Linked DNA regions of Mus musculus: all the other regions are reported to be linked to region 1. The links are microRNA targets in miRTarBase. Many come from high-throughput screens and were not tested one by one. Region 1 holds a microRNA gene; each other region holds the end of a gene's coding sequence.

Region 1 (3,140 bases):
GCGCTGGCTTGCCTCTCCGGCTCCCCAACGAGTCCTCAACAAGTTGGAGGGAGGCAGGAGCGCACGGGTTAAACTCGGGAAGCTGCAATTATCAAGATCGTGACCCTCCCACACAGTACAGTAACTTATATACTTACCTGGAAGAGCCCGCTTTGCCGCTGGGCAAACACCCATGGGGGTTGGGGAGGGGCAGGAGGGGAGCGGGCTGGCCAGAGAGGGCTGCTTCCAGACCGCTGCAGAGCACACCGAACCAATGCACTCCCAAGACCCCCGGACTCAGGTAAGGAGAAAGAATTTGCAGCGCTGGCCGCCTGGTGGTCGGTAGGCTCAACGGTCGGCCGAGCAGAACTTTTTTCCCCAATTGCCCTGCGCTAGAGGCAAGCGCAGACTGTGTAGCCCCCTCTGGCGCGGCGTTGAGACGCGGGGAGGGTGTGTGCTTGCGTCTTTCCGTAACCGAGCCAAGCGGAGGGGATGCAGTAGGAGGGTGGGTGGGTCACAGAGCTGTAGGAGGGTGATGAATGGGCGGAGTGGGTGGGCCGACAGGAACTTGGGAGACTAAGGCTCCAGGTCCAGAAATGCATTCTGTGGGTATGATAAGCCAAGGGTGTGTGTGTGTGTGTGTGTGTGTGTGTGTGTACGCGCGCGCGCGTACCTGCCTGCAGGTCCATTCTGGGATGGCAAAAAAAAAAAAAAAAAAAAAAAAAAAAAGTGAAAAAGCCAAAACAAAACCCAACTTTTGCCCCCAAGTTCTTGTGATGCTTGTAGTAACCACCCTGACTTAAGTTTTTTTTTTTTTTCACCCCCTACTGGAAGGGAGATAGGCGTTTGTTTAATCACACCCTTTGGCATCCCTGGGGCTAGGCAAGAGGGCACTGGGACTTGGGTGGGCCTGCACATAAAGAAGAGGGCATCCCCCTTAAGTTAGGCTAGATGGAATGGGGGAGGGACTTAAAGGGCAGGGAGGAGGGGGGAGAGGAGAGACTTTGCCCCCTCCTTCCTCTCTAGCTCTCTATTCCCCTCCCTCCTGCAGATGCTGGAATCTCCTGTCACTGTGACAGTCAATGCCCAGCTCACCCTTTCTTGTTCCCTCAATATTTTGCAGAAGGGGGGGGCAACAAGGAAGGGCACCTGAGGCAAATGGGCCATTAGACACCATGATCTGGACAGGTTGGGGGCTCTGGGGGAGGGAGAAACTTCACCCTTCTTAGTGAACATTCAGAACTTTGGGGGGGCAGAGTGGGGTAGGGGGACTCGAAAAGGTCTAATTTTCTAGAAATAGGCCAACTAGAGTGGGATTTGAGCTTGTTTTATGTTCATCTTTGCCAGTCATTTTCCGTCTGGTTCTTCTGGCTTAGGTCCCGATGGAAGAGGTCGCTCTCTTGAATCCCTCTTTCCCAATATACACTGCCACCCCCTCACCTGGGCTAGAATGGGAGGGAGTCATGGACAGCTTTTGGAACAACAATATTTTAATGTGTTCTAGTCTAGGTTTTGTTGAATAATTAGAAATGGAAATATTTTTCTCCCTCCCCCTTCTGGAAAAAAAAAAAAAAAAGAAATGTGAGCTCTCTTCTGATTGGTGGGTGACGATTTTAGTCCACACCAATGAGCTGGCGGCCTTGTCTGTATTTATTTAGTGCTCTGGGGGAGTTTTTCTCTTTACGCAGCGCCTGTAGTCACGGCTGGAACCTCTGCTGGGGGACTAGGGAGGATAGGAGGGGATTCGGGGGAAATCTGGATCGTACCTGCTCAGAGATCCACGACCTTGCAGTCAGGGCTGTCAGAACCCTGATGGGGGAATTGGGTGATAGACTAGATAGGATCGGAGGCTTGGAGTGCTAGGGCGAGAGGGGTGGAGGCAGGGCTCTGGGATCCGGGGTCCCCCTTCGAGCTACCCTTATCGCTCTCCACTACCTCTTCGAGGTTGTGCAAGGCTGAGTCGGGGGATCTGGAGATAGAGAGAGGGATGGGTTTGGGGACGCGAGGAGGGGAGAGCGGCGCGCAGGGTGGGGAGGATGAGCCGCGGTGGAGCGCGCCGGGGAGATCCAGTCTCCTCGGCTTCGGGGTTCGGAGACATGCTGGGCTAAAGGCGGCGGCGACGGCGGCGGCGGTGGCGGCGGACCGAAGAAGCGGGTAGACTGCCTTTCGCGAATCTTTTTGCGGTCTGGGCTTGCTGTACATAACTCAATAGCCGGAAGCCCTTACCCCAAAAAGCATTCGCGGAGGGCGCGCTCGGCGACGTGACTGCAGCTACCAGCGACCGCCGAAGCCAGCACCTTCCCGAAGCGGCTCCATCCGAGACTTCCCCAGTTTTTCTCCCCGTTTTCCACGGAAGAATCAGCTCTTTCCTCCCCGTCCTTTCCGCGCTCCGCGAGGCTTTGATCACTCGCTTTCCCGAGACATGTCCCCCGCCCCCAACTTTTTAGTCGACTTTGTACCACAGGGGGAATTGGAGCGGGTGGCGTGCGTGTGTTTTCGAAGAAGTGAGAAGAAGCTAAAATGTAATAAAAGTTTACAGAAGTTGTGTCGTTCCCCCACACCCCACACCCCAAATATCCCCACTCACAATAAGGGGGGGGGGCATGGCCATAGGGCCAAGTCAGTACCTAGAATATGAATCAGTTTAGGAAATTTTACGGTCATTTTTTTTTTGACCCTAAGGATTGGAATCTAATATGGGGGAGGGGAAGCCCTTGAGGGAGGGGCGGTAGGCCCTAACCATCCTCGGTTAGGATGAGCGGAATCTAGAGGAGGTGAGATGAATCTCCGTGAATCCGGTAGCTCCGAAAAAGAGGGAAAAACACCCAGGCACCGCCCGCTCCCCGGAGCCTTCTTCCTGAACCTGCTTCCAACCTAATTTCAGGCGTGTTGCAGGCTCCAGTACCCACCCATCTCCTCTTTTTCAAAACTAAGTAGCGCAGGAGAGGATGAAACAGGCGGAAACTAGGGAAAACCCCGCGGGGAAGGAGCTTCTGCGAGCTGCAGTTGTTTAGCAGTGGCAGAGGCAGCAGCCCCATGCTGGCCACTCGAGGCTCCTAGACCTGGGAAGGGAGGCAAGCTGCAAAGGGGAGAGCCCGTGGGTCCCCCTCCTCCCCCTCCACTCCTTGCAGTCGTGACCACTTCGGTTACAAGTGGCACAA
Region 2 (3,140 bases), not on the chromosome of region 1:
CAACTGGAACAAGAAAGTATTGGGGGTGGAGCTTCGGAACACACCTGACCTCTTTCTCCCCTGCAGTGTACCACTGGGTGGAGATGCGGACGAAGATGCGCATAATGGGTTTCCGGGGCACTACCATCAAGCCACTGAATGAGGAGGCAGCAGCAGAGCTGGGTGCTGAGCTGCTGGGCGAGGCCACCATCTTCATTGTGGGCGGAGGCTGCCTGGTCCTGGAGTACTGGCGCCACCAGACTCAGCAGCGCAATAAGGAGGAGGAACAGCGGGCAGCCTGGAACGCTCTGCAGGATGAGGTGGGCCGCCTGGCACTGGCCTTAGAGGCGCTGCAGGCTCAGGCACAAGCGATGCCCTCCTTGAGTGCCCTGGAGGAGCTGCGGGAGGAGCTGCAGGAGGTGCGTGGTCAGGTCTGCAATGCTCACTGTACTTCCAAGTGCCAGGCAGCATCTTCCAAGAAATAGCCAGCTGCTAAGGCCTGGACTTGTTTGTGACCATGTGGCCTCCAATAGAGCCTTCTCCTCACACCTCCTGGCCCGGGATGCTCTGGCCTAGCAGAAACCACGAGGACCTTGATGTAGCTGTGACATGTGGTCACCCCTTACTGACAGGTTCTGGGCATTTCCCCAGGGAGCACTCAGCAGAAGCCTTCAGAGCCCATCCAGTCTCTGACTCAGAGCCCTCAGCCCCTCATTGGACTTTCAAGGTCTCAGACACCTGACTCTCCACTGCTCTGGCAAAGGCAAAAGATGGAACCAGGGCTCAAGTCTGATCATGACATAGACAAGGTCACCTGCCCATCATTGGAGCGCCTCCTTCCTTCGGTGAACACAGGCCACCTTGAGCCTTGCCTCAGGTCAATGTAGCTCCCATGGAGGCAGCAGAGTGCAATTGATGTTCCCGTTCTCTCTCCTCATTCTCCCTCTGAGGTCCCCAGGGGATCACGCCTGTATAGATCCCCTTACTCCTCAGCCTGTGGCATTACCCCATTTCCTCCCTAGGCACAGACGGATCCTAGCTGGCTCGATTCTGACCTGTCTCAGTCGCAGCCCCGCTGCCCTATCCTGAAATGTCCCTGAACCTTGTTTCGGGTGGCACATATTTCCTCCTGTCCTTCTGTGGTATTTTTCAGTTGGGTGGGTTAGATGTCACACACACACCTGTCTGACCCTTCATACCCCTTAGGTCTGGGTCCCTCTACCCTTTCTGTTGCCCCACCTTCCTTGCTCGATCCCCCCAGACATGACTTACTGCTGGGAATGTGATGGAGGAAACAGAGTAACCTGTTCTCCCACCGTTCTGGAAGCCAGCGGCAGAGGTCAGGGTGTTTGGGCCCCACTTTCTTCTGGCTTCAGGGGCCCCAGATCTCCTAGACTCTGTGTCCTGTCTTCATGTGGCTTTCTCTTCCCCCACCTGTCTCTTGCAAGGACACCTGCCCTGAATACAAGACCCACCCTAAATTTAGGATGACCATATTGAAAGAGCCTTTATTACATCTCTGAAGACCCTTTTTCTAAATGGAGACACACAGGCCCCAGGATTCAGACATGGAGTTTTCTTTTGAAGGCCCTCTATTCAGCTTGCTGCCTTCTGCCATTTTAAAATGCAAGGCCCCTACTATGCTGTTTGGCTCTTCCGGCAGCCTACTCATGGCTTCTGGGGTTGGGCTAACCACTATAGCTCCAGAAGGATTGTGGGTGCAGCAGTCACTGTCATGGTTGTCCAGTTCCTGATGGAGCTGCAGAATAAGGAGGCCTCCTAAGGATATATGAGGGGCATAATTAATACGGACCTTCAAACTGGGCCAGTGATCATTAACAATAGAGAAATCCGGGCTTGGTAGCTCATATCTGAAATTCCAGCACTCTGAGGCTGAGGCAGGAATGAGCCTGGGTCCCATCGTGAGTTCCTGGACAGCCTGCTGAACCACAGGGAGAGACCCTGTCTTTAAAAAAAAAAAAAAAGGCAAAAAGTAAAAAAGACAACCAAGCCAGACAGTGGTGATACACGCCATTAATCCCAGCACTTGGGAAGCAGAGGCAGGTGGATTCTGATCGAGACCAGCCTGGTCTACAGAGTGAGTTCCAGGATAGCCAGGGCTACACAGAGAAACCCTGTCTCCAAAAAAACAAAACAAAAGTAAAAGAAAAAAAGACAACCTTGGAGGAAAGGCAGAGGTTTTGGCTCTGGGGGAAAAGGAGCCGAGACTCATCCTGTGAACTCTTCCCACATTGGGAAACTAAGGCTCAGGAAAAGGGAAGCTAGGTGACTTGGCCAAGACCCCATAGCTCAGGAGGGACCAGAGGACCCAGAAGATTCTGGCTGCAGGGCAAGATGAGATAAGGCCCAACCTCTTCCCAGTGGCCAGAGGCACTGGGTTCTGCCCTCTTATCAGAAAAGCCCCAGGCCACACCCAAGATGTCTGACTATAGGTAACAGGTTCATTCTCCCTGGCCCTTGTCCCTAGAGGTGGCACTTGTAGGGCTCCCCCAAGGGGATGAAAATGACCCATCCCCAGGATTCCCCAGACTGAAACCAATACTGAAACTGTACCTCAGTTTCTTCTAGAAGAAGCTGAAGTTGGTGTCTTTAAATTTAGGAGCAGCTGAGTTAGGTGAAAGCTGAACTAGGGACAGAGGACACACATGGCTAGGTGATGAGGGGAGGACAGAGTGAGGAGCCAGGAAAGCTGCCTGTTTGCCATGGTTACCCCTGTGGAGTCACTAAGAGTTCCAGGGCCAGCCCTGGCCACCTTGCCCTGGGTCAGTCTATAGCAGTTATGGCAAAGCCAAGACCGGTGAGGGCGCTGAGCTCCATCAGGTCAGTCCTTACTCCAACAGACCAGCCTCACTGGTGGTGAAGAGCCCCATAGGAATGGTTTCTCTGCTTGCTTGGGAGGAAACAGGCACCAAGAGGAAATGTCACCTTTGGGTCACCCAAGCATGAAAGTAGGCCTCGGGGCCCACCCTGACCCAGTGGAGCCTTCACATGGTCCTGGTGTATGTGGACATGGCAGCCTCTCCCATGATGACAGTGCAGGAAGCCACCGTGGTGTGGTGTGTGGTTCCAGAAGCCTCTGGGGCAGGAGGCCAGAGCAGCTTTCATGGCTCTGACTCCCTACTCATGCAATGTTACATATC
Region 3 (3,140 bases), not on the chromosome of region 1:
TAATCTTACCACCCAGAGATTTTTTAACCACTGTTAAAACGTTTAGGGAAAATTTCCTCTGGTATTTTATTTTGTTGATGCCAGAAGAATTTCCAATGCATAGAACACCTGGGAGAGGCCTGCTGTTGGCGTCAGAGCCACAGTGCCCCAGCGTGTCTGAGGGAGGGAGCTGGGTCAGGGAGGGTGTGGGCCGGGCCGTGGGTGGTCTGTCTCAGGACTGGGGAGGCTAATTCAGTACTTGGCACCTTGAGCCTAAAGGGTACAAAGAACTGTCTCACTGAGTTTTTCTTTCTTTCCAGCTCCTGAAGCCCAGAGAGAGACTGTGTGTGTGTGCGCCTCCTGCAATCAGACCCTGAGCAAATGAGAAGAGAAGCCAGGCTCCAACTGTCCTGGGGCCAGCAGTGACCCTACTGTCCCAACTCTGGGCCTCTGAGGCCTGTGCTGGGCAAACGTAGCCTGACAGCTAGGTCCTTCCTGCCCTTCCCCTGCTGCCTCCAGCTGGGCTGGTGATGCTCTAAGGCCCAGGGGGAGAGGAGCCCCTGGGGTCCCGGCTCTTGGTTCTGCTCTATCCTATACCCTGTTAACTCAGGGCTAGCGAGGGAGTGTCCACCAGAGGGCAGAATTGAGCACAGCCTGCTCTCATCTGGGCTCTGGTCGTCAAGGTCAGGCTGGCTAGACCTTAGGATCCAAGAGACTTGAGGTTGGAAAAGAGGTTCTTCCCTGTTGGGTACTTGTCAGTCTCTCAGCCCCAGAGAGCCTGCGAGGGGACTTAGAGCTCCATGGCCTGCCTTTGCCTTTTGAATAGCCTCAGGACTGGCGTTCCCAGGTGTCCCAAGGAGAGGGAAGGTGAGGGTGCTGCTCAAGTCCTTCAGTGTCAAGTGGATGGCAGGATGGGGAAGCTCTGCTTACAGAATCTTAACTCCCATGGTTCTCTGGTGTCCTCAGCCCTGCTGGGGTGGCTACAGGACCCTCACATCACTCTTCCATCCTGCTCTGAGTCTAGGGCACCCCACCTTTCTCCCACTGCCACATATCTCTAGCCCTTATCTCATGGAACATGCGGCCAGGTGAGTGGAGCAGAGAGACTGCAAGCCTTTGAGGTCCAGGGACGTGTAGGACTGCCCGGATTTCAGGGCTGTTCCTGGAGTAGAGATAGCATTGTAGGATAGGGTCAGTCACATGGCCAGTTTTATGTTCCCTCTGACCTGCCAAGGGTGCTGTGCCTCTTCTTAAGCCATGAGCTGGCTCAGGCCCCTTCCCCTGGAGCTTTTTCAGAGTATTTATTTATTTATTTCATGGTTCCTGAGAGCACGCAGCACAGGGTAGGATGAAGAAGACAAGGGGCTTCTGCCTGAGACCCTTCTGCAGTCATGGACTGCCCTTGGAGCTGATCTTCAGGAACTGTTTCTGCTGCCCAGTCATGGGTGTGGTGCCCACACCTGAACCATTTGAGGTCCTCCTTGCTGATAGGCCACACACACACAGCAGTAGAGCACTGAGGGTTTGGCAGTGGGGACCAAGCAGGTGAGGTGTACTCCTTTGTCCTGGTGAGAGATGCTCACCTCTGCGTATTTATACTGTAGAGCAGTAGACAGGAACGCTGTGGAGAATTGTCAATAAAAGGCCCCATGCTTATGGTTTTGTCAGGTCTCCTAGTGCTGTTCAGGTCTTTCATGTTGCCCAGGGTGGGCTGTAGGTGGGCTTTGCACACCTCCTGTGGCAATTCGTGAGCCAGCCAGGCCCAGTGGAAAGCTGTGCCTTATCAACAGGAGGGGTGGGCTTTATCTTGTGACCAGACCCACGGTCTTGGATTGAGGTTGGGACCAGAACTTAACTATAAATAATGCAGGCTTCAGAATGGAAAGGTTTTAGCTAATCCTCTGGGAAAGACAGAAAGGCCAGCGCTGCAGGAGGCTGAGAGCTGGTAAGCAGGTTTCTGGTGGGGTGAGGTGCAAGTTGGCCCTGTGATCAGGCTAGGCTGGAGCTGGGCACTGCACACATTATGTTAGCGCTGGCACCAAGCTCATGAGGTAGGCTCTGTTTTCCACATGGTAAGGCCGGCAGTGCACAGCAGCAGCACTGTGAGCCAGCTCTGAGCTCAGCCCCACCTACCAAGGACCCATGTGCTATCATCCTGTAGCCTTTAGAAAGAATGCACATCTGTCCTGTGTCCTTATAGCAAAAGCCACTGCTGCCTCCTCTTCCTCCTCTCCCTCCTCTTCTTCCACCACCTCCTTCAACAAAGAATGATTTTAACTTTTTTTTTTTTTTTTTTTTTTTAAGGTATCAGGCCATCTTATTGAAAGGTGACTGTGTAGCCGGGCGTGGTAGCGCATGCCTTTAATCCCAGGATTTGGGAGGCAGAGGCAGGCGGATTTCTGAGTTCAAGGTCAGCCTGGTCTACAAAGTGAGTTCCAGGACAGCCAGGGCTACAGAGAAACCCTGTCTTGAAAAACCGAAAAACAAAACAAAGCAAAAGGTGACTGTCACTGCTGAAAAAGGCTGGCTGTAGTCACAGATGTGAGACAGGGGGCTTGCCTTTTTTGTTTCCTGGAGGTCCCTGTGAGAACAGGTGGGGAGGCTGTCTTCAGATGCAGGTTCCTCTTAAGAGAGCAGAGCTAACAGGGTTCAGCAAGGTTGGTGATGGTGTCACCATGGAGCCTGTGGTACAGAGATCTCAATGTGGAATGATAGACAGCTTGCACGTTGTAGAATTGGATGTCTGTGTCAAAATACACCTTCCAATTTGCTGGTACCCAGGAACAGAGACAGAGAGCCAGGTTGTGTTAGAGTCCTGGCATGTGGCAGGGCAGGTTTGGAACTCTGGCATCTAGCCTGACTTGGGCTCAGGTCTGTTGAGTCTTTTGTGGTCTAGTATGTGGATGTCTTCAGAAGGTCTTGGCAGACCTGGAATAGGTGATGATTTTGGGGTGTTTTCTGTAGCCCCTGGGGCTGAAGCCAAATGAATCTCCTTTTTCAGAGATCTGTGTCTCTTCTCACAGCTGGCCCTGTTCACAGGTCATCCTGCCAGGGACTATACCTAGCCAGTAGCTCATGTCTTACAGTGTCACAGTTTGTCTAGTTCTTGGATATTCTAAATAGGTAAATAGAGGTACTGGGGTGGGGGGTGTTAAGTTCCC
Region 4 (3,140 bases), not on the chromosome of region 1:
CTCTGCGGCTTCTAGAAATGGTGACTGAGGAGAGCAGGAGAAAAGTGCGTGGGCTGAGGACTAGCCACCCCTCTTCAGATCCCTCATCAGTGCTTCTGGGGCAGATTTGGCACAGCAGCCAGGAGCCACTGACCATAGGACCTGATGTCTAGGCTGGAACCCAGTGTCCTATGCCTCAAGCCAAATGATATCAAATCAGCCTGTCTCTCTGACCCTCAGATGTCTCTCATCTGCAGATCCACCCATCAGATGCTAGGATTGAGTGGATGCTGCCTGCCAAAGGCTTGGTGTCTGGGCTTCTGCTACTGCACATTGTCCTTAGCATCATGGTGTTGAACTCTAGCCATGGCAGACGGTGGATCCATCTGTGCTTAGCAAAAACCCCAGGGTCTCATTTTCTCTATGCACATGTCCCTGTCCTCTAGATTTCTTCGGACCCTCTCAGGAGCACAGTGCCTACCAGACAATTGACTCATCATCAGACGCTGCTGCAGACCCCTTTGCAAGCCTGGAGAACAAGGGCCAAGCTGTCCCCCGGGGGTACTGAAGCTGTCCCTGGTCGTCCTGGTCCCCAGCAGGATTCTTGTTCAAACCTTCTTTACCTGGACCTACAGTGGGGCATCCGCCATTCCCTATCACAGAGGTGGCCTGAGTCATGTGCCCTTGGAGGTCAAGAGCCTCTAGCTTCTCAGTGGAGAAGAGCCCAGTCCTAATTCTCCAGGCTACCCCTCCCTTCAAGACACCTGTTAACCCCTGGGCTAGAGCTGTGGTTGGTTTTTTCCCCTCCTACCCCATAACTATAACACACTCCTACTGAACTGCCCAGAGTGCTCAGGGCCAGCCAGGCCTCATGGGTTAGTGATCACTGCCGCTCGGGCTGCCCCATGGTGATCAGCCCTTCCTAGAAGCTCTGTGAGCTTGTGGTCCCGCTCAGCCTGCTCTGCAAAGGGGCAAAGTTCCTGTGCCTGTCACGGCCTCATGACTTGGTGTCTGAGAACCCCAGGCCTGGATGCAGTAGTTCTTCAGAGGCCCCTCTCAGAGTGCTGGCATTAAAAATTCAGGGGTTCTGTGGCTGCTCTGTGTCTGAGCCACGATTGAGCTCCAAGCACAGACCCACCCTGCTGTCTTGGTATGATTTTTGCCTTTGAGTCAAGAGCCTGATGGAAGGAAGGGCTACCTGTGGGCCTGTGGGGGGAGCCTGACTGTGGCCAAACGGTCAGTGTGGCATGTGGACAGACATCTGTCCTCTGAATCTAAGTGACTATCACTGCCTCTGATACTGACCCATGAGGCAGGGCATGGGTGACTCCCTCTATCTCCTGCGTTCTTACCACAGTCGACTGCCTCCTGAGGTTCCAGGGCCCCTATTCTTACTGCCAGATCTCTGGGGACAGATACTTGAAGACTTATGGGGAACCACAGGCTGAGGTGACTGTCCTGAAAGGACTGTCTGCACACCTGTGGACAGGCAGGGAGGCTGAGTGACAGCATCTGTGAAAAGTGAACCCCACCCCCCACCCCCGCCTCTGGACAGGGTCACTGTGGAACACCATCCCATACAATCAGCATCCCATACAATCAGCATCCTGAGCCCAGTGTGAGCAGAGTGAGGAGCAGCGTGTGCCACTAGAGGGAGGTAGTTGTGAGGCAACCTCTCACAAAACCCTTAGGTTTGTTTAGGTTGTATGCAGCACAGTATAAAACATGAGCCGGGGCCCAGAGACGAGGCTCAGCAGCAGGTGAAAGGAGTCAGTCTACTACTTAGCGTGACAATCTGTGTTTAGTTTTGGACCGACTTGAGAAAGTTGTCCTCTGACCTCCACACATACTCTTGTCATGGTATGAGGTTTTACACACAAACAGAGAGAAGAGAGAGAGAGAGAAAGAAAGAAAGATAGATAAAAACAAACAATCCAGAATATTAAAAACCTGCCTGGTGGGTGGTTAATCCCAGCACTCGGGAGGCAGAGGCAAGTGAATGTCAGAGATTGAGGCCAGGCCTGGTCTACAGAGTGAATTCCAGGTCAGCCAGGGCTACACAGAGAAACCCTGTCTACAAAAAAATAACAAAAAAGCTCTGGGATGCATGTCAAGTTCCTGACTGCAGAGGCCTTGGGGGAGAAGGGAACATGAGGCCTGCGGCAAGGAAGATGGAAAACCCAGGGTGTTTCTCCTGTTTCTGGGCAGTTTCTAGGCAGAAGGAAGGCCTGGAGTATCAGTGCCGTGTCTCTTGGAATAGGTCATGCTTGCAGAGACGAATAAGGTGAGGCAGGGGCTCAGCCTAAGTAGCTAAGACAGGTCCCAGAGCCTGCATCCCTCAGATCCAGCTGACCTTAGGGAAAGGTGGAGGAGGAATATCTCTGGAAGAGCCCCAAAAGCAGACTAGAGCAGGGGAGCTGGGCTTTCTCATTGGTCAATGGCTGTCCCACAGTGGATGACAAACTTCCAGCTGATGGAGGAGAGGCCCCGAGGCAAGCAGAATAGGTGGGTGAAGAGAAGAGACATGCCCTAGAGGCAGCAGTGGGCTAGAGAGGGTCTAAGTGGAGGGGCAGCCCCCCAGGAAGGCTGGCCTGGAACACTGGCCAGCATGTGGTTAGGAAGTGGTGTGGCTGGAGCGCTTAGTGTCAGATAGCAGAAGAGCAGGTTGGGAGCCACCATGGGGACTGCCTTCCACTGAGTAAGAACTCAAGAGAGCATGCATCGGTATCCGAATCTGAATGTGACTGGTTGATACTCCCTAGAAGGATACTTTGTACTTGTTGGCTGTGGGAATGTGACAACTGTCACCTCCTGGACACACTCTGAAGGTGGGCCTGCGGGAACTGCTGATGCACCGAAGAGAGAAGCCAGGAATACTAACAGTAGGATTGGGGCTGTACCCTGTAGTTGCCACTGACTGGAAAGCCAAGAGGAGCACACAGGCTGGTGGGGCACAGGATGGCCAGGCAGGGTCCAGAAGGCTGTGCTTGTGGGACGGGGCTCTTCAACCAGCTGCTCTCACGGGCACCTGCCTTTGTGCCACAAGGCCCCGTGGTGGTTTGGAAACAGGCTGGCCCCCAGGTTTTAGTCTAGAGCCTGCCGTTCTTGGGAGGTCTCTTACCTGTTGCCTGCAGAGCTGAAGTCTCTTGTCCTGTTTGCAA
Region 5 (3,140 bases), not on the chromosome of region 1:
GCAGCAGTTGGCCCTGTGGTTCTGCTGCACTCCAGTGAAGGTCAGTCAGCTTGGTGCGACCACTCCATGTCATGCCAGCCACTGAGGTGCAAAATGGTTTTAGGATGTTGGAAATATGAGGCTGTAGTCTGGAGGCAAAGGCAGGATTCCGGAGCTTGAAACTAACTTGTGCTACTCAGTAAGTTCCTGTCTCAGGAAAAAAACTGTAGTAAGGAGCATGCTGAGTGTGTCTCTACCAACATGTGGCTTTCTTCTTATCCCTGCTCCACTGCCAGGGTATTAGATGCCATTTAGAGGGGATGCTCATGCGGACCATATGCAAACACAGCAGCTTATGGGACATAAGGAACTTGAGCATCTGTGGATGCACAGGGGCTCCAGGAAGGAGGCCTGCACAGAGTGGGACGGGCACGGCTGGGGTTTGCTCATGGCTAGCATGCTACTCAGGCTTACCCTGGGAGGGGGAGGTGGGACGGGCACAGCTGGGGTTTGCTCATGGCTAGCATGCTACTCAGGCTTACCCTGGGAGGGGGAGAGGGAGGGGGAGGTGGCCAGATGCGCTTGCAGGTGCCTTACTTTACCTCCCTGCTCTGTAGCCGAGCTCTTAGGACTGCATTGGATTATCACACCAGTGCAGTTCTGGGACTCCACTTCCCCGGCCAGGGCGGATGTGAGCACAGAGGCTGCAGCTTGGCAGCTAGGAAGCAGCCTCTGGATGGGAAAGCCTTGAGTGAGCCAAGTTCAGGGACTGTCAGGATCAAATCTCCCAGTGACTCTGAAAAGCTACCTTAATGTGTGGAGCCACGTTCAGACATGCTGGGACCCTAGCTCTCAGGTTGGAGTGGAGAAAAAACACAGAAACCATCTCAGGCCACCTTCCCTTCTCCAAATCAGCCTGGTGGTTTGACATGTGCCCTTGTAGGCTTTTCTGTCCAAATACTTGCGCTCAGAACAGAGGCCTATTTCACCTGAGGGGTAGAAATGGCTCCGCTCGGTTCCCTTTCTTCTCCAGCTGGCTCTCAACTCCCTTGCTCTCTCTGCAGTCTGCACGAGCTAGTAAGACATGGAGAGAATGGTCTGGTCTTCAAGGATGCTGAGGAGCTGGCAGCTCAGCTGCAGGTACTGGGTCTACTCCGTCCGTGTGGGGCTGGGTGGTTTGAAGCCTGGCATTGCCAGCTGCACGATCCCTGCTTCCCACACAGGGACAGCTGTGGTAGAACTCTGGGGTGTAGAGGAAGGGAGCAGAGGGCTCAAAGGTAGCTTCTCAGCCTGGGCTGTCAGCCAGTCATTCACCTTGCCAGGGGAAAACATACATACCCCTGCCTGCCACGTGTCCAAAGATGGAAGCTGTGCTGCCCTTTAAGGAGGGTGGGGGCCAAGGGAGCACCCGCTGAGGGGTCTATCCTTATAAAACTAACGTCCTCTCATTTCTGTCCTTAAGTCTGGGTAAGAACTGCAGTAGCATCTGGCATGGATGGGAACACTAGCTGTGCACATGCGCACATAATCTGAGTTCCAATAAAACTTTATTTACAAAGGCAGGTGGGCAGGACCCAACCCGTCCCTGATAGACACACTAAAGGCTTCCATCTTAACTGCATCTGCAGGGGTGTGTTGAGGATGGGAGGGGAAACTGAGAGAATAGCAGGTGGAGGCTAGCCATTCTCTAGGGCAGGGCTGTGGGTGAGTAGATGAATCCATCAAGTGTCGAGTGAGCGGAGGGGCACCACTGGACACGAGCAAGGAGGCCGGGGCCTGGTGCAGGGAGCTGAGTTCCAGTTTTCCTGTTTCCCTAGATGCTTTTCTCAAAGTTCCCAGACCCTGCTGGAAAGCTAAGCCAGTTCCGGAAGAAACTGCAGGAGTCGGGGCAGCAACGCTGGGATGAGAGCTGGCAGCACACTGTGCTCCCTCTGCTCGCTCACTCACAGATGACCCCCAGGCCCCATCCACCCTGTGGCCACCCTTCCTGCCGGGGCTTTTGAGTGCCCCCTAGTGGTCATAAGCCTGAGGACAGCAGTGGGCGACAGCTAGGATCTGGCTACTGATCTGGCAGCTCTCTTCTGTTCTGAGCACTTCTGTTACTTCCAGTGTCCCTGCCAACTTCTCAGTCCCTGGGTTTTTGTTTCTGGACTTGTCACATCCCTTGCGTTCTGGTTCTGCTGTGAGCTCTGGGATAGCCTGTGTTCACTGGGTTTGGCTGAGCAAGGCTGAACTGTCTGACAGGACAGTCATACTTAATAAATGTATATATTTATTTGTACAATGGAAGTGTTTGCTCTGAGCCTGTGTCCACTCGAGATGAGCTGCTGAGGACAGGCACCAGCACTCAGCCTGTGCTTACTGTACACTTGTGCTGTTATTTAACATTCCTGCTCAACAGAAGCCTTTCCGCTTTCCGCTTTCCCATGACAGTCATTTTTCTTTTCTCTTCTTTCCTTTTCTTTCCTTTTTTTTTTTGGTTTTTTGAGACAGGTTTTCTCTGTGTAGCCCTGGCTGTCCTGGAACTCACTTTGTAGACCAGGCTGGCCTTGAACTCAGAAATCCACCTGCCTCTGCGCGAGTGCTGGGACTAAAGGCGTGCGCCACCATACCCGGCTAGTCATCTCATTTTTCAAATCACCTTCAAACACCATGGCGACTGGTCAGCACCAGCTTCAGGATTACGATGGCTGAATGCTCTTCGTAAGGGAACAGTTTGCCAGTGTGAGGGGGCACCTCTTCCCAGTAGATTCCAGCACGGTCTAGATAAGAGTACAGAGATCTCAGGAGGGCAGTTGACACAGGTGTGCTGTGTGTTCAAGCTGATTTGCTTGGCCACAGGTTTCCAGGCCCGGGTAGATGCTCTATGGGAGTGTGTATCTGTGGGCACGCTTGGTCTAAAGGTAGAGGCAGAGGTTCTGCTCCCATGTTCCCCTTTATTCCCTAAGCCCCAGCAATCCTGTCTCTGCCCCTGACGACACTAGAATTACAGGTACTTACAGCCACAACCCAGCGTTTTAAATGGTGGTTCAAACTTGGGTCTTCTTGTTCGTATGGTAAGTAAGCACTTTTGCTTACTGATCTCTCTGTGGCCACCTCTCCTGTTGGGTTCCTTGCCTCTCTGCACCTGCCTACCCTGTCAGTTGGCACAAGCAGAGATC
Region 6 (3,140 bases), not on the chromosome of region 1:
GCGCACTGCACACACGGGAGATCAGAGGATGATTCAGAGGGGTCAGTTCTCTTTACCCTTTTGCTCCTGGGGACATTTAAGTCCAGACTTAGTGCAGCTGCTTCTACTTGACGGGCGCCTTTGCCAGCCCTTCCTGCCCTGGTCATCAGGTTCCTGAGTACAGCTACCATACCCCGCTGGTCCATACACTCCTGTGCTCTCATGTTGTGGTCTCATCCTGCGAGCACCCTTGGGGAGTGGAATCGTAAGGAAAGGGGCGTAGCTTTTGGGGAAGCCCCGTGATCTTTGGTCAGTCTTTTGGTCACTCTTCTTTCTTGCCCGGCAGAAGGCAAATACAGGGCTCTGAAGATGGACTTTTCTCTTCCTCCTTCTACTTACGCCACCATGGCCATTCGAGAAGTGCTCAAAATGGACACCAGCATCAAGAACCAGACCCAGCTAAATACGAGCTGGCTGCGATGAACAGTGCATCGCTCAGAGAGGGGATGCAGACCTGCTTCTGACCTCCTATTCTGGTCTTTTTTTAAGTGCTGACTCATGTTTGGAGTTTAAAACTTTTGTAGTAAAGGATGATTTGTATTTTGTAAAGTTTTTAATCAGCTTAAATACTTTGCAATATTTGTACACATATACAAGTCCTGAGGATCCTAATTTCAGCTCAGAGATCGAATTGGGTCAGCATATCCTGTAGGTGCTTAGATTCTAGTACAGCATCAGCTTCCTGCCTTTAACACAGGGAAGGGGGACTTGGTTTAAAGTTGCGGTTTTAGGTTTTGCTGCACACCTGAAGTACAAACCAGAATCTTAGATGTTTGTGATGAGATTACACATGGTCCGTGTCAGAGCAAATGCAGCAGACTGGAAACTAGAGACTGCACACTTAACACGCAGTTCCCGTGTTGGTTTCAATAATAACAAAACATCCACGGGTTTATAAACACGGCGTGGCTTTTGTTGAGTGACTGTGTTAGCTTCAGGTGAGCATTTATACACATCTTAGCTTGCAGTGGCTTTTCTGGTTAGTCTATCAGCATCTTTCAGGGCACTCTTTTCCTTGATAGGAGCCTGTAGCTTTTCTTGGGTACAGTCTGATTTTACTCTGGGTGCCTCTTACTCTCAGAACCTTTTCACTGGACTCAGAAGTAAATAGTGTGAGTTCCAGGACAGCCAGGGCTACACAGAGAAACCCTGTCTCGAACGCAAAAAAACAAACAAACAAAAGGTAAATAGTGACCATGAAGGAAATCTGGGAAACTTAGAATGGCTCCTGCAGCCGGGCGTGGTGGCCACGCCTTTAATTCCAGCCCCCGGGAGGCAGAGGCAGGCGGATTTCTGAGTTCAAGGCCATCCTGGTCTACAGAGTGAGTTTCAGGACAGAGAAACCCTGTCTCAAAAAACCAAAAAAAAAAAAAGAAGAAGGGCTCCTACTTCCATCTGCAGCGCTGACCCTCAGCCAGCAGCTGCTTAGGGGTTTCCATCATGGCAGTGCAGAAAACCCTCCTCTAAAAAGATGGATATGCCTTTCAGACAGTGTGAGACATGACTCTAGCCAGTTTTATTTTCTGTTATTTCTTAAAGCAAATGTAATAAATATTTTTAAGAACACATTTTTTACTAATTATGTAAATAAATCAAATAAATATTCTAAAACTGAGTGCATGTAAAAATCTTGTCCCTGGCTAACGGGCAACAAGGCGCTCGATGAGTGGACAGTTGACAGTCGTCAGCAGATGTGGCATAGTGGCGTCTCTATCAAGATGGGCTGTGAGACTCATACAGTATCCACTGGGGTGACTGACTCATGGCCTGGACTCAAGGTAATTCCTCCCACGGTGTCGCTCCCTGGCCTCCCAGTGTGCTTTCTGGAGTGAAGAAGATGCCTGGAGAGAGACAACAGCCATTAAAGTATAATTGAGGGGGCTGATGAGATGGCTCAGTGGTTAAGAGCGCCAACTGCTCTTCCGAAGGTCCTGAGTTCAAATCCCAGCAATCACATGTTGGCTCATAACCATCCGTAACGAAATCTGATGCTCTCTCTTTTGGAGTGTCTGAAGACAGCTACAGTGTACTTACATATAATAAATAAATAAATAAATAAATAAATAAATAAATAAATAAATAAATAAGGGGGAAAGTATAATTGAGAACCAATAGTGCATTTCTCCTCCCTCTCCTCCTTTCCTTTCCTCTCCTCTCCTCACACTGGCCACTGGCCACACACTGCTGAAGCGAAAGGAATGAGTCAGACCTGATCCTTCCAGCCAGCTCACACTTCTACGGACCCCAAGTGTAAGTGTCCATGATTACTGAGGTTACCCTGGATTCAAATAGTCTGCAAACAAAAAAGAGTTTTATCCTGCAGAGGACTTGTATACTAGGGTCTACCATCTACAAAGAGAGAGAGAGATCCTGAACTGAGCTCACAGGACCAATTTAAAGCACATTACGGGAATTCCAGAGTAGGTGACCTTAATCTTGCTCCATCTCTAGGAATCGTTCAGAACCATTGTTGGGGCCTAGGGGCTTGCCACTGGAAGTCTGGAAACTGTTGCTGCCCCATCGTCCTTGCCTCAGGCCAGGTGGTAGTGCAGCTTCTGAGGCCTGGATATGCCTAGTTCTTAAAAACAGATTGAGGCCCAGTCTCCTGAACTGCCTATTTGAAGCCTGTCATGGAGTTAGCCTAGCCTTCTCAAAGCAAGGTAAATAACTCAAAGTAGCTTCAGGAAGTCCTGAAACTGACCAGATCCACTAGGCCCCTCCCTGCCAGAATAAAGTATAGGAGCCAAGGAGTCTCAGACAAGCTGAGCTGCAAAGACTGAGACCAGACCAGCCTCCTGAAAGAAGCAGAAACCAGCTGAGCTGCCTGGAAGAGGTATAGAGCAGAGGTTCCTGGAAAGGACCCCGCCAGCCTCTGGGCTGCCTGCAGGCTGTGCAGTGTTCCCAGCTTTGTAAGGGGTCATCTGTGCTAAGGTGAGCCTTAGTGATGCAGCTGTCTGAGTCATTTCTGATTCTGTAAGTCACCCGCTGGTTCACCAAGTTGGACCTCGGTAGACAAGTAAATGTGAGCTGAATCTCTAGCATGACCATGTCACAGCAGCAGGAGCGTCAAGGCATTCCAGACTGCCTTGATAACAGCAGGA
Region 7 (3,140 bases), not on the chromosome of region 1:
TGAGCCATCCCCTCAATTCCATGCGACCTGTACTTTTTACATATTTATTTTAATAGTTTAAGATAAAAATGATGCTCATTGTCATTTTCATTTTCAAGCACTCAAATGAAGTATAGGCTCTGGATGTTGATTCTAATACAAGTCTATGGTCTATGTGGAAGAGTAATGTGGTCTCTGAGAGGCAAATGCTTGGGGCTCACTGGTAACCTCTGTTTTACCTTAACATGCTAACTGCCACTACATTTCCTTTGTTAGACCCGGGAGGAGTGGCAGAATGTGTTCCTCATAGCAGCGCTGGTACACTACAGCGGAGTCATCTTCTACGGGGTCTTCGCTTCTGGGGAAAAACAGGACTGGGCTGACCCAGAGAATCTCTCTGAGGACAAATGTGGAATCATTGACCAAGATGAGTTAGCTGAGGAGACAGAACTCAACCACGAGACTTTCGTAAGTCCCAGAAAGAAGATGTCTTATGGAGCCACCACCCAGAATTGTGAGGTCCAGAAGACGGAGTGGAGACAACAGAGAGAATCTGCCTTCGACGGGGAGGAGCCATTATCCTACCAGGCCGAAGGAGACTTCTCAGAAACATCCTAAATGTCTGGCTTCACCTCAGCTTACAACTGGAAGTATCGCACCCATCGCCTTTCCCATACTGCGTCTTGCCAGGGGGCCAAATCGTGGGAAAGGGGGAGATTAAATTAACAACAGAGAAAAGAAACACGCCTTCTTACAAAGATGGGAATATGGACCTTGGTCTCAGTTGATAAAATAGTTGATCATATTTGGGGTTGGGGTGTGGATTGGGCATTGGCCGTTGAGCCTTCTCTCAAAAGAACTAGTTATTCAGGAATTAATGGTGAGAAGAATAAGGAGTAGCATGTTGCTCAAATAAACACTGGAAGAAATCCCTCTTTGTTCTGGAGAAGAGTACATGGTGGTTGCCATCACATCTCTTAGGATACTCATGTAGAGGAGTTTCCTAAACCTAATGAAGGGAATCACTCATGGGGGCCCTTGGTTGTGCCAGGTGCTTTGTGAACATTATTTAACACTCACACCCTAATACAGTTATACCTGTTTTACAATAGGTTGGTCTACCCAAGGTCGTCCTCTCAGGACCAAGGCTGAGAATGGCAGATGAGCGGGAGTTATAGGAAGGAAGGAAGGAAGGAAGGAAGGAAGGGAGGGAGGGAGGGAGGGAGGGAGGAAGGAAGGAAGGAAGGAAGGAAGGAAGGAAGGAAGGAAGGAAGGAAGGAAGGAAGGAGAGAAGGAAGGGTTCAGCTCATTGTAGAGACATTTTCAATGACAAAAACTAAAACTGAAGTCAGCTGTTTTGTAGGTAATTCCATGTTTGGTCAAGGGTGTGTGTGTGTGTGTGTGTGTGTTTGTATATATGTAAATATTTAAACTAATATGGAAGAGGGAATTCAAACATATGAAATTCTAAAAGCAAAAACCCTTAAGATATTATATTAACTGTTGGACCAAACAATTTGTTAATCAATGGCCTTTTTATTTTTTAAAAAAGTCACAGTCTAGTAAAATACTTAAAGCTAAGCAAGAGCTGGGCATGGTGGCGCACACCTTTAATCCCAGCACTCGGGAGGCAGAGGAAGGCGATTTCTGAGTTCAAGGCCAGCCTGGTCTACAAAGTGAATTCCAGGACAGCCAGGGCTATACAGAGAAACCCTGTCTCAAAAAACCAGGGGGAAAAAAAAAGCTAAGCAAGATAGCTCAGTTTCCAGGAATGGTTGAAAAGAAGTATATAAAGGAGTGGCCATTAAATTTAACCCCCCTAGAGTATCAGGAATTTTTTTAAATAATGTCTCAAGTTAACTATGAGCCCCTAAGGCAGTTAATACCTAAGAAGCAGGTTCAGGGGAGACTATTACGTAAATAGTCTGTTTACTATTTACGTAATAGTATCTTGAAAAGAATCTTGTTCAAACAAATGGGTGTCATTAGCTTTCTTGGAAAGTATGGTCAGATGATATAAAACTATGCCCAAAAGACTCACAATGACTCCATCTGGCATGTTCACAGAAAACGAAAGCACAGCAGTAGTTTTATAGAGAAATATTGCAGTCAACATATTTGAGAGAACCAGGCCTATAATAGGTATTGGGGAATTTATCTGTGATTGTGTAGGGCAATAACATGGATATTCTCTAAATACATTTAAAATGTAATGTTAACATGTAAGAGTATTAGAAAATAAAACTATTTTCTTGCTCTTCAGTTTTGAAATTTTTATTTCTGTTTTCAGGAGGAAAGTGTAATATGATGATAAAATATAAATTTACTTGCATAATATTTATTTTCTAGTTTTTTTCCATTTTATTTCTGAACCCCCCCTTGTTATACTTAAGGAGTTATAATGCACTTTATAAAAAGACTAATCATAGATTTTTAAAACTTCCCATTAAATAATATTCTTTATATCATTTGTAGATAGTTTGTGTTATCAGATGTTGTTAGATCTCCTTATTGTGTGAATCCACGTAAGTCCCCTAGAACAGTTATGGGCATAAAGAAGCACTCAAGAAATAGCTGTCACATTGGCATTATCTTTAACTCTTGTGTGACCATGTCATCTGTGAAGAGTGTTGTGTCATTTCATGCATTGGCCACAGAGTTTATTATGAAAATTATACTGTTTTCTTAGTAAAAAAATAGGAAAAATGTGTTTATTTCTTTGTGTGTTAATAAAACATAACTATAAGTATGAAAAAAGCCTCATGATGATCATGAAGGCAATGTAGATTATGGCACAATCTGTTGTTAGTGTTGACATCATGCAGAAATACCACATTTTGCTTTTAACCTGCTTGTATGATCTATTTTTTTTAATGGTGGGCTGGATCGTGGCATTAAACACAATAAAGCACGATGCCTTGTGGTGATGTTATTTCCACGTGGGTTGCGCTGGGCCACTAATTACACTTGCACAGCATTGACAAGTGACAGGGGCCAGATCTTGTAGATCTTGCTCTTGCTGTCCATTTGCAGACCTACCTTTCAGAGTGGAGTGTGGATTCCAGTGGGAGGAGTCCAGAGGATGCTGGGTTATCAAAATAAAGTCGTGGTTGTACTTTCTCAAACATTTACAGTCTTGGCTATCCCCCAAAGTGAGGAGG

The links. The annotated mature microRNA mmu-miR-129-2-3p reads AAGCCCUUACCCCAAAAAGCAU and lies in region 1 at 2,196-2,217, shown strand. An mRNA with a match to its seed (bases 2 to 7 or 8) in the 3' UTR can be bound and repressed. Matches are read on the target gene's strand: a 7mer-m8 pairs with bases 2 to 8, a 7mer-A1 pairs with bases 2 to 7 and ends in A, and an 8mer does both.
Region 2: miRTarBase lists Opa3 as a target of mmu-miR-129-2-3p. Seed matches in the 3' UTR shown: 7mer-A1 at 2,096-2,102.
Region 3: the mRNA of Zfyve27 is a reported target of mmu-miR-129-2-3p. Seed matches in the 3' UTR shown: 7mer-A1 at 588-594 and 7mer-A1 at 2,426-2,432.
Region 4: miRTarBase lists Agtrap as a target of mmu-miR-129-2-3p. Seed matches in the 3' UTR shown: 8mer at 1,169-1,176 and 7mer-A1 at 2,031-2,037.
Region 5: miRTarBase lists Eef2kmt as a target of mmu-miR-129-2-3p. Seed matches in the 3' UTR shown: 7mer-A1 at 2,485-2,491.
Region 6: miRTarBase lists Pus7 as a target of mmu-miR-129-2-3p. Seed matches in the 3' UTR shown: 7mer-A1 at 1,170-1,176 and 7mer-m8 at 1,417-1,423.
Region 7: the mRNA of Slc17a8 is a reported target of mmu-miR-129-2-3p. Seed matches in the 3' UTR shown: 7mer-A1 at 1,674-1,680.

Annotation. Positions count from the first base shown.
Region 1 is chr2:94,240,453-94,243,592 of GRCm38, reverse strand. Mir129-2 (microRNA 129-2) reads left to right here and starts at 2,140; the gene lies at 2,140-2,229. It overlaps Mir670hg (a long non-coding RNA gene), which reads left to right. Exons shown (of 8, transcript XR_003953878.1): 3 at 1-280. It overlaps Mir129b (microRNA 129b), which reads right to left and starts at 2,215; the gene lies at 2,151-2,215.
Region 2 is chr7:19,244,688-19,247,827 of GRCm38, forward strand. It overlaps Opa3 (optic atrophy 3), which reads left to right. Exons shown (of 2, transcript NM_207525.3): 2 at 67-2,130. The coding sequence ends at 464. Among named protein-coding and RNA genes, the nearest start is that of Gm38499, 3.2 kb to the right of the region's middle.
Region 3 is chr19:42,190,084-42,193,223 of GRCm38, forward strand. It overlaps Zfyve27 (zinc finger, FYVE domain containing 27), which reads left to right. Exons shown (of 13, transcript NM_177319.3): 13 at 300-3,140. The coding sequence ends at 364. Among named protein-coding and RNA genes, the nearest start is that of Sfrp5, 11 kb to the right of the region's middle.
Region 4 is chr4:148,077,890-148,081,029 of GRCm38, reverse strand. It overlaps Agtrap (angiotensin II, type I receptor-associated protein), which reads left to right. Exons shown (of 5, transcript NM_009642.5): 5 at 426-3,140. The coding sequence ends at 547. Among named protein-coding and RNA genes, the nearest start is that of Gm13201, 2.9 kb to the right of the region's middle.
Region 5 is chr16:5,242,645-5,245,784 of GRCm38, forward strand. Eef2kmt (eukaryotic elongation factor 2 lysine methyltransferase) reads right to left here. Exons shown (of 8, transcript NM_027446.2): 8 at 1,511-2,741. The coding sequence ends at 2,623. It overlaps Alg1 (asparagine-linked glycosylation 1 (beta-1,4-mannosyltransferase)), which reads left to right. Exons shown (of 13, transcript NM_145362.2): 12 at 1,044-1,119; 13 at 1,797-2,263. The coding sequence ends at 1,982. Among named protein-coding and RNA genes, the nearest start is that of Alg1, 11 kb to the left of the region's middle.
Region 6 is chr5:23,739,162-23,742,301 of GRCm38, reverse strand. It overlaps Pus7 (pseudouridylate synthase 7), which reads left to right. Exons shown (of 16, transcript NM_178403.5): 16 at 326-2,137. The coding sequence ends at 462. Among named protein-coding and RNA genes, the nearest start is that of AI506816, 28 kb to the right of the region's middle.
Region 7 is chr10:89,573,773-89,576,912 of GRCm38, reverse strand. Slc17a8 (solute carrier family 17 (sodium-dependent inorganic phosphate cotransporter), member 8) reads left to right here. Exons shown (of 12, transcript NM_182959.3): 12 at 256-2,893. The coding sequence ends at 597. Among named protein-coding and RNA genes, the nearest start is that of Slc17a8, 46 kb to the left of the region's middle.